Stegostoma tigrinum: one gene and its partner. The protein of the gene in region 1 interacts with the protein of each later gene in a pairwise test. Links are inferred from orthologs where the notes say so. Each region holds a gene or a part of one and is shown on either strand. Other genes may lie near its edges. The genes, in order: ap3d1 and sybl1.

Region 1 (7,703 bases):
GTTAGAAGGGGTAAATTTAAAACTGAAATGAGATGACATTTCTTCAGCCAGAGAGTGTGGTGGGCTTGCGGAATTCATGGCCATGGAGTGCAGTGGAGGCCAGGACATTGGATGCCTTCAAGGCAAAGATCGACAAATTCTTGATCTCAGAAGGAATCAAGGGCTACGGGGAGAATGCAGGGAAGTGGAGCTGAAATGCCCATCAGCCATGATTTAAATGGCAGAGTGGACTTGATGGGTTGAATGGCCTTACTTCCACTCCTATGTCTTATGGTCTTATGGACAGTTGAAGATTGCTGCAACTAGCATGCAGCACAGAGGTCACAAAGCCAGCTATTGGAAAGGATTATACAACTTAGATTTAAAATGCTTATGGTGATTTGACTCACCCATTTGCCATTAGCACTTTTGCATCAACAGAACTGAAGCAAAACTGCAGCCCTACAATGTCAAGAAACAAGATTTGTGCACTAGCTTCAGCCACGTAAATTGAATTTAAACAATTTCCAATATCACCAATGTCAGATGATGCAATTACACACTCCCTACTTAAGAACTGAATAATGTTGGCTAGCAGTATGCAGAATGAAAAGAAGCGTGCAACCACACAACTTCACCAGAGCAGTTTGGCACAATTGGAGTCTGTGTTTTGCTATATTACTAAAATGAATTCCATGGATATTAACTTTTGCTATTATTTGTAATTTCCTCTGGTGCATAGAGACCACGCATGGGCGGAACTTCAGAAACCTAAATAAAGTTTAAATACATGTCCCAATGCTTGCAGCATATGTTAATCGAATGAAGCAAACATGCTAAATATTATAATTTAAAAGTTTAACTTGAAGTAAAGGAATCAGGACACAGAATCAAAAAGTGCAGTTGGAAACACCGACTATAGATGATTTCACAGTTTTTGGGATTGTGCAGTCACTGAAAGGAATACAACCGCTCAAAATATAAACCAATTTTAATCATGTTATAGCTGAAGTTTACATGTCAAATTACTTTTGACAATATTAATTTGGCTATCCTCATTCTCCTAACAAAATTAAGGTACCTTGACCTACACGATTGGTGTTTTACTGTTCCCAAATGATTCTTCTGCTTAAGAACTAACAAATCAGTAGTTCCAAAAAAAAGCCCAAAACTGCATTCCGTCTCTCTTCCACTCCCCAACAAATCATATCAGTTTGGCACGCATAAAGCTTTTTTCACAACCTGATTACATTCACAAAACTCCAACTCCCACATTAAAACTTTCATACTGCCGCAAAGAAATGTAACCTGATGACTGTACCCTTAACAAAAATTAACAAAAAAACTTTTCTTCAAATCTACAAAGTTTGCATTGTTGCACCTTTCACAACTACTCCAAGAATGATACAGTGAATTAAGTATTTTAAGTGTTGGAAATGCACAAAACCAATTTGCACAAATCAAGCTCTCACAGCCAATATGTCAGTGACCAGATGTTTCTGAGATGTTGATCAAGGGGTAATCATTCACTTGAGCACCAGAATTTACACCCTGACATTCAGTGAATTGGTGCTAAAATGTTTATGTTCATTCAAGTAGTCAGATGGCCTTTCATGCGCATGATGCCATATCTAACAATGTCCTTCAGAACAGTATTGCAGTGCCACCCTCGATTTTTAAGCGCTCCAATGCTGGACTGGGGTTGGTCCAGCAAGCCTGTCTCACCCCAACACAATGCTTGTCATTGAACATATCCTACCCCCTCTCCCTCAAGTTGCACAGTCACCTACAAAAGACGAAGTGAAACTTATGAGGAATTGGCTCTTTAAATCTGTGATCTAACTAGTATTTCTTAATGAATAGCAAGTGTTTAAAATTTTCAACATAATTATGAATGGATGTGAACTAATCAACATCTGATAAAATCTGTATATATGTGTCAAGTGGCACAAAACTTCAAACATTCGTTTTCATTCACTATTTTAAAACAAAATAGCTGATCCTAGTACACAGGACAAATTCTGTCATCGTAGGGGGAGCACAATATTGGTTGCACTCAACCTAGTTAATTTAACTTGAGTAAAGCTATTCCTGTTAGAAGAGCGAGCTTTCCACTATGTTTAAAACATCTGTTTTGAAAAGCATTGTCATCTCCAGTCTCAAAAGGTTAACTTAGTTGTTAGCTAAAGAAACACAAAAAGGTACAGTACCAAAATTATCAAACAAGGATTATACCACAGGTTTACCACGACATCACCAAAGGTTTTACAACTCTACGTTGGAGTGAATGACCACTTTTATACACTAAACAACCGTGTCAAAACAAAATGAAATGCCGTATTGAGAAATTCAAGACAACAACAACGCATCAGGACTTCAATATGTGCACATTTTCCGTTTATGTAGGTAAAGTATTGACAAACGTAAAACATATTCGCGCACAATTAGGTAAGCAATAAGGTGTGAGTCAAGTCAGAAGCTTGGCCACATACGTCCCTTGGTGATCAGGTTACCAAACGTCAGCATCAGCAAAACTATCAGCTTTTGGACCAAAACACAGTTGGACCCTCAACTGTCAATTTCATAAAAAAAATAAGTATTACTGTTGGAGGGGAGATAGAAACGGGGACGGCTGGCAAGGGAAACAATTATTTTGGGCGTTTGCTTTAACACAGATTTACATTTTCGCAAGGAAATTAAACGCCAGGCAAAAACAGGTTAGAAGAAAAAAAGGAGCCGATTCTTGGGAGCTCCTGTCAACAGCAGCTGCTCGTCCCACAGCCCAGTTTCCAGACTGAAATGAACTATCCCGAGCGCCGGGCCGAAGTGAAGAATGGAAAGATCGGTTTGTCCCGTTGTTATCAATGCTAGGCCTCGGATACATTCGTTTGTAGTTACTTTCCCCGTGTTTCTTAATCCTCCTCATTCTCGTGTGACAGCGATGTGACGGTGGCTGCAAAACAGCTCCAACTCACCTCGTCTTCCTTGTGGTTCCGGATGCCACGTACCAGGTCCTGCAAATTCTTGTCAAACATTCGGTCAATGCTGCCTTTCACGATTTTCAGAGCCATGTTCCTTCGGGTCGGCTTTCTCCGGGATCTTCTTGAGAGCTACACAAACCCTTCTCCCTTTCACCGACCACCGATGTTGGAAAACATGCCAGATTTCCTCTCCCGAATCTACACAACCGTAGAAAGGGAATGTAGAATAAACCAGCGGAGCCACAACAATGAATTATACTGCCTCTGCACTGTCCCCCACTTACAGGTTACAGATAGCAACAGAAAATGGCCGCGGCTAAGCTAGAGTCAGGTGACCAACTGCGGGACTGGAAAGGGGAGGAGAAAAGAAGGAGCGCGGCGGAGTGTGGGGGTGGAGCCTAGAGATCAGGGGGCAGGTCCGGCAGGGGGCGGGGACTGTTGTTTGAGATGGCGGGGCCTGGGATGGGACATAGGCGGGGTCCCGCTGTGGAGGGGGCGGGGCCTGTGGCGTTGACAGGGCGAACTCTTCGCGTCCTAAGAGGGGGAGAGGCTTTTGGCAGGAGAAGGCGGGACAGATGGTGGGTGTGGTCTGTCCAGCCGTGGGCGGAGATTTAATCGGGAGAGGGCGCGGCCTAGGGACGGGCGCCCATGACGGGGCGCAGTGGGAAACAGGGCGGGCCCTTGCAGTGGGCGAGGCCAGTGTGGGGCGTAGAATGCGGTGGGGCTGGGCGCAGAAGTTGGGACCTTGAGTGGGCGGTAGCGGGCGTCCGTGGGAGGGTACCACAACTAGAGTAGGCGGGGCCCGCACCGGAGGGGGCGGGGCGGGGCGTTGATAGGGGTACAGTCTTGTGCCGCAGGACCGTGGGCCAGCATTGATAGGGCTGTGCGATGTTGGCTCATCTTCACAATTATTGATATTTCCACTCAGAATCTTCGTTTCCTAAGATTGCTTTCTTGCATAAGACCGTTTATAGTCTCTCCGTTGTTTTATGGTTTCCTTTGTAAGCATGATTTTGTGGTGTTCAGTTGGGCCGTGCGTATGAAACTGAGTCAGTTGGGTATGAAGATACGAATTGGGAGCAGATATAGGCCACTCGCTCCTGAATCCTCCTCTGTGATTCAATTAGATCACAAGATCTGATTGCTCCACATTTCCGCCTGACCCAATGATCTTTTACCCATTTGGTCATCAAGTGTCTCATCTGCATCAACTCTAAAACGTTCAAAGACTCTGATTTTCAGATTTCTAATTTTCAGTCCAGTTTACATAGAAGCATGGAAAATAGGACCAGAATGCTGTTCAGCCTTTGGAGCTTGCTCTGCCATTCAATTCGATCATGGCTGGCCCTGTTTTCTCTCCATTTGCTTTGATCCTTTTGGTCCTAGGACCTATATACATATTTAAAACTTACTTGAAAATGTTCAATGTTTTGGTTTCAGCAGTTTCCTTTGGCAGAGAATTCCACAAGCTCATTACCCTCTGGGTGAAGAAATTTCTTCACATCTCAATCCTAAGAGGCAAACCCTTTATTCTTAAACTGAGACTGCACACACTGTCCTGGTGTTGTCTTACAAATCTATTGTACAGTCACAGCAAATCACTCCTGTTCCTGTTTTTGAACCCCCTCGCTATTTTGTGGTAGCAATGATAATGAAAAAGTGCCACTGTTATTCCTCTTGAAATCAATAATCTCTTGCCATTGTGTACATGTGGAGACAGATGTAGAAGTTGCTGCCACTGATTCTAATTGTTTCACTAGGGCATACTGTCGAACTTCCTCAAACTGTGATCAACTTCGAATCACTAAACAGACAAAGAACTTTGTCTTTTATGTTGTAATACTGCTGTTAACCACCACCAGCGTTGACCCAAAGTCAGCAATTTGTCTTTTATGTTGTAATACTGCCGTTAACCACCACCAGCGATGACCCAAAGTCAGCAACTTGTCAATGAAGTATGACTTTTTTTAAATGTTGTACTACTGCTGAATAGTCTCTTTGGCTGTTGAAAACTAATTTCATATTTGTCTAAATTTTTTTTTCCATTCCACTTTAAGTTCTCTTTTTCCAATGTGATTTAAGCTTCAAATGTGTGTGACTTAAACATCTATTTCACTCTAAGGCGAAGAACGGCCAGTGCATTTTATTTCCTGGTTTGCAGCCTGAAGACTATTTTATTGTGATTGGTTGGTTAACGTCAAGTTGCTCAACAAGAAGTCAAATTGAAACTAAAGTCAGTAATAGCAAAACCCATCATACAGAAATTGCTCAATCTAGGAGGGTGTGTTCCTTCAAGCTTAGTGATAAGTGCCAATACTTGACACTGACCACAAAATGAACCAATAGCTCTTTGAAGATAACAAAATGTGAAGCTGGATGAACACAGCAGGCCAAGCAGCATCTCAGGAGCACAAAAGCTGACGTTTCGGGTCCCTCTGATGAAGGGTCTAGGCCCAAAACGTCAGCTTTTGTGCTCCTGAGATGCTGCTTGGCCTGCTGTGTTCATCCAACTTCACACTTTGTTATCTTGGATTCTCCAGCATCTGCAGTTTCCATTTTCTCTGAGCTGTTTGAAGATCTGACTCACCACAGTAAATTTAGTGCTGCACATTGGGAAGGAATTTCTCCAGTGCCTATGTGCATCGATTCATTTGTTGCAATTGTAGGAAATATGTCCATTCAAATACATGCTGATTGTAAATGCAGACGGAAACCACTCATCAAATGTGTGGGCTGGATTTAATGGAGAAGATGGGGTTCTTGGTCACTGGTTGGACAGCTGACAAAAGCCCTATATCACAGGCACTTGATAGAGCAGTGGAGGGCCTTCTGCCAAAATCATGGAAGTTCCACCCACTAAGAATCACAAGCCAGTCAGAGGCTAGCAGCCCTTCTACAGCAAGTAGTGCCATTGGAGAGGGGATGGCTGCTGCCAGTACACCACCAGATAAGATCCAGCATTGCTGATGGACCGGGGCACAGGAGAAGGGTAGTAGGAGGCTATTCATGGGATGTGGACTTCTGGTAAAAGGGCTTTGGGGGGATCAACAGGAGGAGTGAGAAAGTTGCTGTTACCAGGCCAACTCCCTACTCGATGTGGAATCCTTAATCAGGCTATAAATACCGTTGAAAAAGGGAACCCTTCACACTCTTGAAGGTTGCAAATAATCCCTCCAGAGTTCCATGTATGCTGTGCCTCCTGCAGTAGTGGGATATAACCCTAAAGTGGGCATTGTTATGAAGGCATTTAATATTTCTCAGTGGGAAAAAAAGTTACATGGATTAGTTATTTGAAAAAAAGGTTTCTGGAAGGCCATTAGGCATTGAAAGCTTTTTGACAAGGCTTCTTTGGAATCACGAATCTTGTGAAAACCATTTCTATTGGTATAGACAAGTGTGCGGTAAATTCCACCAATGCACGAAAGTTGAGTCAATGCCATGATCCAATTAAGTGGGGGGGGGGGGGGTGTTATTGCTGGTTAAAATTCGGGTTGATGGCCCAATTTGCATCCTTAATATTTAGGCCCTATCTTACTAAACTCACCTAAAAAGCTGGATGTCAGGAAACCTCAACATCAAAACCAAATTGGGTACCTGGCATATTCTGCTCACCATTTACTCCAGGCAACTTCCACATTGCCCATGACTGAATCACAGTCCAAGGTATGCTCCAGGGTATGTCTGAGACGTCTCTGACATCAAGCACTCTCAACATTTAAGTAGAAAAGGGTCAAGTCAAACACATCACAAAGCCAGTGAGTTCACACAGAATGATTTGCTATATAACATTTGCAATCTGAACTGCAAATGGAGATTGCTTTACCATTTTGTATGAGACACACGTTAACCTAAATGGAAAAAAATGAGACTCCTTACTAAGCATATATCCATTGAAGTAACGGAGAAACCATCATCATCACTGAACATCATTGCCACATGCTAGATTGTGACTTTACATTATGTGTCTTGCAATATTGTGCAGGAATTGTACAGAAATAGAAAAGTGACATGAATTCTTTGGCTTCGGGTGGCAGATAATAATTACTCTGTTACATTTTACAACTAAAACTATGAACAATAAAGCAGCTTCCTGAAATGGTTAAGCGGCAGCATAAAAACAATCCAATAATTTTCACATGATTAGAGAATTTGTAATATATTCTGTTTAATTCAATTCATAGATAAACACAGACTTTCCTTCATCCACATTGATAGAGTTTGAAAGGTTTATAAAATCTGCTTCGGACTTATGTCTCGTGCCTATGAGGTCCAAAGCTAGGATAAGGACTTTAGAAGATTCCCTTTCATAATTACACAAACCTTTGAAAATGAAAGTAATGGTTTGTTGACCTCAATCTAGATACTCTGCTTGAACCTAATTGCATGTCTTAACTAACCCATTATTTACATGTTTGATTGCAGGACCAAGAAATCATGGGTGGAATTTACTGCATTCCTATGGTGAGTTGTGGATGAGAATTCCCACAGCCTTCTTCCTTCCACCCCATTTAATTTAATGAGGGAAAGGCCTATGGATGATCTTCGCGTCTTGTTGCAACTGATGTTCTTAAAGGGGCAATTCCCACTGTTATGACCTAGACTGGAGGAGTGCAGTATCCCTCTAATCCCATTCCTTATGGTGTCACAACATAACATTTACTAATTGTACCCAAGTCCAGTTAATACTCAGTTGTGTACTTACTCTGTATTAGCCCCGGAATGAAAAGATTAATCAACCAAGTC
Region 2 (7,569 bases), on another chromosome or scaffold:
AAAAGTTAGGAAGCTGAACATGCAAAAAGAGATAGGGTTTGGAAATTTTGAAAAGGTACACTAACTACACAAAATTCTAATGGAGTGAGTCAGGAAACAAAAACCACTCCAGACTCGGAGGCAGTGTACATACACCTGGACATCTGACTGAAGAATATCCAAATAGCTTGAGAGACGTAGAGATTTGTAAACAGGTGCACCAGTTGAGCCACTGGAGGAGGACAGTGTCCAATGAATTTGTCAAATTTAATACAGAAGACTGCAGACTCCGAACTGCTGTAAATGAAGTTTGTGCTAAGTGGATGTGGTTAATGAGATCTGTATTTGAAAAGAATTGATCAGGTGATGCAAGGTACAGGCAAAGCGAAAATAAAGCAGATAATTTTCTAAACAAGACAACTGTGACCTTAGTTACATTCCAGTTGTAAGCTTGGAAGGAGTAGGGTACAAAGTTGTGACATAAACAGATTACGTAACACTACACCTACAAAAGGCAAAACTCTCAAACAAAATCAACATACAATACAAGCAGTCTTGCTCAAACCTATCTAGATTCCACTTACTGAATCCAAACAGTGTTACAGATTAGCAATTGCACATTAACAATTAACATTTTATCTCACCAAGGCATAGGGCATTCAAGGCATTTTAAAGCAAAATTTACAGGCTTAAAATGTGGTTTAGCAGTGCCATTGTCAATGCATTGTCTCTGTATTCTTCCATCTGATTTAAGTACAAATCAGGAGCTGGCAGTCATTTGGCCCTTCAAGTCTGCTCTGCTTTTTAACATCATAGCTGATCCTTTAATCTCTGGAGATGCCCACCTTCTCTCATACCCCTTGATGCCTTTTATAGTTTAAAAACTTGAACTTTGAATACATTAAACGAGTTAAAATTTAGCTCTGATGATGTGGATGGACATCTCTCCAAGCAAATGCCTATGCAAAATTAAATTTGGGTTCATTATATAAATGCAGTTAAAGTCAGCAGCAACATGGCAGCCATAGATAAGCTGAAATTAGAAATGGAAAAATCCTATTAGCACTACAATGACAAGTCTCTCTTTTACAGAAACTGTTAAAATACAGAGTTAAAACAAGTTTACTCTCCATCCATAAGTAACCCAACTAGTTTGACCCAGGAAAAGGGGTGAGCCATTCAGCACAGAGCTATTTCACCATCCTAGGTGATCAATCATCTCAGTGCCAGTTCTTTTCCCACTATCACAATGTCCCTTAAGTGACATATTTTGAGTTCAACCTGCACTATGATTGAGCTTCCACAATCCTCTACAGTAGAGAATTCTAAAAAGACTCATGCCTTTCATTTGAAGATTTTCCTCCTTATCACAGTCTTAAAATGCTGTGCTCCTTAGCCGGAGATCTGTCCCTGGGTCTAAGGTCACAGAGGAGGTGCCCTATTTATATCTACATTGTCACATTTTATGACTTGTATAGGTTTCAAAAGGGTCACTTCTTGCATTTCCAAAGTTCTAGAGAACACAAACCAAGTTTCCTCAATCTTTCATGACAATCCTGTCATCCCATTAATCTGGTGATCTTGCCAAAAATGGGCAAGTATTCAAATTTCAGCATATTGTTGGCTGTGTGGCAGTAAGTCATTCCATTAAACTCTATTTTCCAAAGAGTATAGACACAAAAACATGATCAATCTCATTAACCATAAAATAACAGGGAAGGTGCAGGGGGAAGAGGGGGTGGGGGAAGGACCCTAGTCTAGGATCACAATGGTGTTAGATTACAGGAACTTCCTTGTGAATGTTTATTCTACAGAATGTCCAATAAATGTAAGAAAGAATGGTTCATTACCAGAACAACTTTTCCATACATGCATGATATCACTCATAGAGAAATGACGCTTCTGCTTTTAACTCAAAATATGCCAAAACAAAACTTCTCAGCATGTGAAAGCAGCAGTTACAAAATTCTCAGCTCAAAGATCTCGGGACTTACTTTCCATGAGAATAAGTCAGTTTATTATTTTCTGATGGTATTTTTGATAGTATCTGTTCAGTCACTTCCAAAAAATTCCCTCCACACCAGGCATTCTTTGCCAGGATGGTAGTGCCTCTTGCAACTACTGCAAACAAGATAGCCATGGCTCCTCTGAAAAGGTGATACAAAATACAAATGTACATCACAACTTTCAAATCACTAGATTACAACAAGATAAATACTCCCACTATGAACACACTATTTACTCCATACTGAAAAGTACAAGACATCATAATGAGAAAAGCAGGATCACAGTTACAGATTAAGGAACAAGCCAGCCAGACAAGAAAGTTTTAAAGTCATAGTGCTTTGCTTAGAATCAATTTTAATGCTAGCCTGGAAATAGGATTGAAATGAATGTTCACCTTACTTCATAGAATCATGTAGTACAGAAGAGGCCCTTTGGTCCATTAACTCTTTACTGCCAAAACTACACTATTACCATCTACACTAGACCCATAGACTTAAATATTACAACACTTCAAGGTGTTCATCCAAGTACATTTTCAAAAGTTGAGATTTCCCCACCTCAACTGCCATCCCAGACAGTGTATTCCAGATCCCCACCACCATACAGTCAAAAAAGCTTTTCTCTAAATCCCTTCTAAACTTCCTACTTTTTACCTTAAAGATTACACCTCCTTGTTAACCCAGCCACCAAGGAGAACAAGTCCTTTCTCCTCAGTCTTATACACCTCAACCTTCTCTGCTGAGAAGTAAATAACCTGAGTTTAGCGACTCTGTCTTTGTGGCCAAAATGTTCAATCCCAGTGGATCATTTCTGCAAGTACACCCTTCCAATAGCGTGGTGACCAACTGTGGCCTAGAGCTCTAAATAGTCTTTGCAAGACGTCTCAAACTGATCCTCCAACTAATTTCGCTTTCGAGCTTCCTTCACCAACAACCGTTCACGCTTCGCAGTAAACGTTAGATACTCAAGTACGGGTCTTACAACAAACGGAAGAAGCGATGCGACCCAACACAGCCCACAGCTGAAGTTCTCCACCTGCAGCTCATCAAAACACCAGTGACACCTGAGCCCTTTCCCTAGGTAAACATTCCCCAAACTGAAAGCTCCACACTACGACGTTACATGTCTTCACCATAAAAACAAACAGCATCCACAAACTCTGGGCGAGCTCGACTAACGTCCTAATGACAGCAACAATTAAACAAAAACTGTCCCATACCCTTCCCTGAGCTTCCTCCACTCCGGGGCCTTATCCTCAAGCTTCACCCTTTCCACACACTTCCGGTCAGGTGATACCTTTGCCACGCGCACGCACAGGTCGACACGGCCAGCCTCCTCACAAAACGCACGCAACCATCAGCCTTACGCGAATTATGGGAAATGTCGTTCAAGCCGTGAAAGTAACGGACATTTACAGGCGCGTTTATCCTTCGAAGACTACAATTCCCGGCATCCATGGAGAACGACGTTTAATACCGGCGTCGACATCCAGTGTCGAAGTGGACCCCAGAGCGACAGCGTGAGGATGGCAACAGCTGAAGGGATGCAGAAACCTGTCCTGGAAGTGGTGAGTACGTTCTCTCGTAGTGTCCAGCACTTGACTAACCTTAGTATCAGAGATAATGGGAACTGCAGATGCTGGAGATTCCAAGATAATAAAATGTGAGGCTGGATGAACACAGCAGGCCAAGCAGCATCTTGGCCTGCTGTGTTCATCCAGCCTCACATTTTATTAACTTGACTAACCTTGTTTGTTTTTGTTTTTGTTTTGGAGGCGGTACTAGAGAAAATTGATAAAATCATAGATGCAAGTGATCTGAATTTTCAGAAGGCGTTTGGAAAGAACGATAAGGTCTGAGAATATGGAGTCTGTAGACAGACTATTATTTGCTGTCTTCAAAGCAATTACTTTATATCACAGGAAAAAAATACTTATGACTCACATATGAAGTTCTGAGCATGTCTGTCAACAAGAATAAGTAGTGGGCATAGAAGACCGTTGAAATCCAATGCTATGCCGACCTCTCTAACATGCTCAGCCATTTCCAGGCCACCTTAGACCTTGAATGGTTCAAAAACAAACAATCTTGAAGGCAGTAATATACTCCTCAAATACGATGTAGTCACCCAAGATTTTTGGAAAGAGCATTACTAGTTTCAGACAAGATTCCAACAGTTTGATAGATTAACTTTGGGTATATGCCCACGTTTGCTGAGAGACTATCCAAAAGATGAAATATAACACTGTATGGTTGGACAATGTTTCTGCAGAGATCAATAAAGTGGGTAGGCATGAATATTTGCTCAAACCTTCAGACTTTGTACAAGTCAGGGAAGAAGATGTATTTCTTCTCAGCTTCCACAAAGCAGTATTGTTTTTCTATTTTAAGAAGGGTGCAAAATTAATACCATCAATGCACTATCATCAGGGTTCATAGTCTTTGTGGTATCCAGTGCTGTCAGCTGTTTTTTGAAATCATACAGAGTGAACTGAATTGGCTGAAGACTGATATAAATGATGTTGATGTATAAGGTATGTACTCAGCACTTCTGGCTGAAGAGGGTTGCAAATGTTTCATCTTTGCTTTTTTGCATAGATATGCTAGGCTGCCTTTCATTGAGGAAAGAGTTGTTTTTGGAGCCTATTGCTCCACTTGTTCAGTTGTCCACTACTGTTACTGACTAGTTGTTGAAAAACTGCTCAGCTTAGGTTTGATTCATTGAGTGTAGGATCGTTTAGCTCTCTTTATATCATTTGCTGCCTCTGCCATTTGATATGCAGTAGTCTTGTGTTGTAGTTTCTGCATACTTTGAGATATGTCTGGTGTAGCTCCTGCCATGCCCTCTTGCACTCTTCATTGAATCAGGCTCTCTGCTTGATAGTAATTGTACAGCAGAGTTATGCAAGGCCATGAAGTTACAGATTGTAGCTGAATTTAATTCAGTTGCTGATGGCCCACTATGCCTCAAAGGTGCTTAGTTTTGAGTTGCTATCCCATTCTGCCCCATTTAGTAGAATGGTAGTGCCATGTAGCAGGATAGAGCGTATTTGCAATGTGCAGATAGGACTTTACAAGAAGTGGCCTGCCCAACCAATAAGGTAATTGACAGATTCATTTCTGCTGGGTAGATTGGTCTGGACCTTCTCAGTTTAGCAAATTGGATCCTCTTTGCTCTAACAAACAAACAATCCATGCTTGCTATCAAGAGCAATTCAGAACAGGTCACATAACCACTTTTCAATTAATCATGAATTGAAGATCCAACCTCGAGATGATGATCTTATAACTTTCATCATTTTAATGTAATCAGTCACATAGAAAGCTCCTGACACTTGATCAGTCAGTAAGTCTGGCCATCACTGTTTTGGTAGGATGGGGTAGAATTCTTCAAATCTAAACTAAACAGCAGGTTGGATAGAGGTAAGCAGAGATGAAGATTTAAACTTTCAAACAATCTCATCTCCCAAGCTATTGACCCTGTTCATCTTTGTGGCCACTGTTTAAGACTGTTGAATATGATTGCACATTAGCTGACTGCATATTCACTTCCACACGAAGATCGTCTCCTTCCAACTCTGCAGCACTGCTCGATTCAGCTCCTACCTCAGCTCATCTGCTGCTGAGATTGTAACTTGTTCTGGATGTGAGTTTGCTCGCTGAGCTGGAAGGTTAGTTTTCAGACGTTTTGTCACCATTCGAGGTAACATCATCAGTGAGCCTTCGACGAAGCGCTGGTGTTATGTCCCGCTTTCTATTTATCTGGTTAGGTTTCCTTGGGTTGGTGATGTCATTTCCTGTTCTTTTTCTCAGAGGGTGGTAGATGGGCTCCAAATCAATGTGTTTGTTGATGGAGTTCCCGTTGGAATGCCATGCTTCTAGGAATTCTCGTGCGTGTCTCTGTTTGGCTTGTCCTAGGATGGATGTGTTATCCCAATCAAAGTGGTGTCCTTCCTCATCTGTATGGAAGGATACTAGTGATAGTGGGTCATGTCTTTTTGTGGCTAATTGATGTTCACGTATCCTGGTGGCTAGCTTTCTGCCTGTTTGTCCAATGTAGTGTTTGCCATAGTCTTGCTACATTGGACAAACAGGCAGAAAGCTAGCCACCAGGATACGTGAACATCAACGAGCCACAAAAAGACATGACCCACTATCACTAGTATCCTTCCATACAGATGAGGGAGGACACCACTTTGATTGGGATAACACATCCATCCTAGGACAAGCCAAACAGAGACACGCACGAGAATTCCTAGAAGCATGGCATTCCAACCGGAACTCCATCAACAAACACATTGATTTGGAGCCCATCTACAACCCTCTGAGAAAAAGAACAGGAAATGACATCACCAACCCAAGGAAACCTAAACAGATAAATAGAAAGCGGGACATAACACCAGCGCTTCGTCGAAGGCTCACTGATGATGTTACCTAGAATGGTGACGAAACATCTGGGAACAAACCTTCAAGATCAGTGAACCAGCTTACATCTGGAACAAAATAAAGACCCACTCTCTTGTGGACCGAGAGGAGGAGAGTGCTGTGTTGGAGGTGAAAGAAGGACGTCGGGATGGCTGTGCACCCTTGCGACCGGTTGATCTTAATGCTGGCTTCGGCCTAACACTGGTTTAGGGGAGCAGCCAACCTGCAACGATGGCTGCGGCAAGTGCTCGTGCCCCAGGTCAGGGGGTCCGGAACACCATTTGTGTTTCTGTAAAGAAGGTGGATGAAGGTGCACCTGTGGACCGCACCTTCTTCATGAAGAGGGTCCTGTTGGACTGTTGTGGGTTCGCTGCTGCGGACATTTACTGCCTGCAGGATTTCCCCGGAGGAGGTTTTTACAATGTGACCTTCAGGAGTGCCAAGCTTTGCGAGCGCTTCCTGGAGGTTTTCAAGGAGAAAGGAGGTGAGGGCCCCCTCTCTGTATTGACCGCTGTCCCGCTGTTTGTGGTGCCAGCGCAGGGGGTCGTATGGTGACTGTACACATGTACAACCCGCGTGTGCCAGCAGCTGATGTCCTGACCTTCCTTGGAAGATACGTGAAGGTGGAAGGGGACCTAACTGACATCATGGACCGCTTTTGGCATCTGGACCAGTAAGAGGCAGGTCAAGGTGACGCTGAGGATGGGCGCGGACGGGAACGTCGTACACCCACTGTCCAGCTTCGCGATCGGCGGGAGCAAGGGCTACCTGACCTATGCAGGGCAACCTAAAGTCTGCCATGCCTGTGGTAGGTCAGGTCACGTGGCGGCCGACTGCAAAGCCACCATCTGCAGGGAGGAGGGACACCTTGCAAACCTGCAACCTTTGCGGGGAAGCGGGCCACCTCTATAGGGCATGCCTGCAGCAGGGGACCACTTACGCCCAGGTCGCCGGCAGGGGCAATGCGGGGCCAGCCCCCCCGGAGAAGAGGAAGGCACCAGGGCCCAGCAAGGACCCCACTAATGTGCAGGAGAGCCAGGCCATGCAGGAGGGCCCAGCCCCGCAGGATGGGCCCGAGGCCAGCAAAGCACCCCTGCAGGCTCCGCTCCCCCCCGACAACCCGGAGTTGATGGAGGCGGCGACAGGCGACCCAGGGGAG

The links.
Region 2: the proteins of ap3d1 (region 1) and sybl1 interact in a two-hybrid assay, tested with the Homo sapiens proteins (2 studies listed by BioGRID and IntAct). The link is inferred for Stegostoma tigrinum from reciprocal best matches to the Homo sapiens genes AP3D1 and VAMP7.

What each region holds. Positions count from the first base shown.
Region 1 is NC_081383.1:19,183,805-19,191,507, forward strand, and holds the start of ap3d1 (AP-3 complex subunit delta-1), read right to left. Parts: upstream 3,289-7,703; 5' UTR 3,051-3,288; coding exon 2,955-3,050; intron 1-2,954. UniProt on the Homo sapiens protein: Part of the AP-3 complex, an adaptor-related complex which is not clathrin-associated. The complex is associated with the Golgi region as well as more peripheral structures.
Region 2 is NC_081368.1:48,299,103-48,306,671, forward strand, and holds the start of sybl1 (vesicle-associated membrane protein 7), read right to left. Parts: upstream 3,317-7,569; 5' UTR 3,206-3,316; intron 2,127-3,205; 5' UTR 2,120-2,126; coding exon 1,974-2,119; intron 1-1,973. Other genes in the region: polr1d (DNA-directed RNA polymerases I and III subunit RPAC2), read left to right, coding at 3,512-3,553. UniProt on the Homo sapiens protein: Involved in the targeting and/or fusion of transport vesicles to their target membrane during transport of proteins from the early endosome to the lysosome. Required for heterotypic fusion of late endosomes with lysosomes and homotypic lysosomal fusion.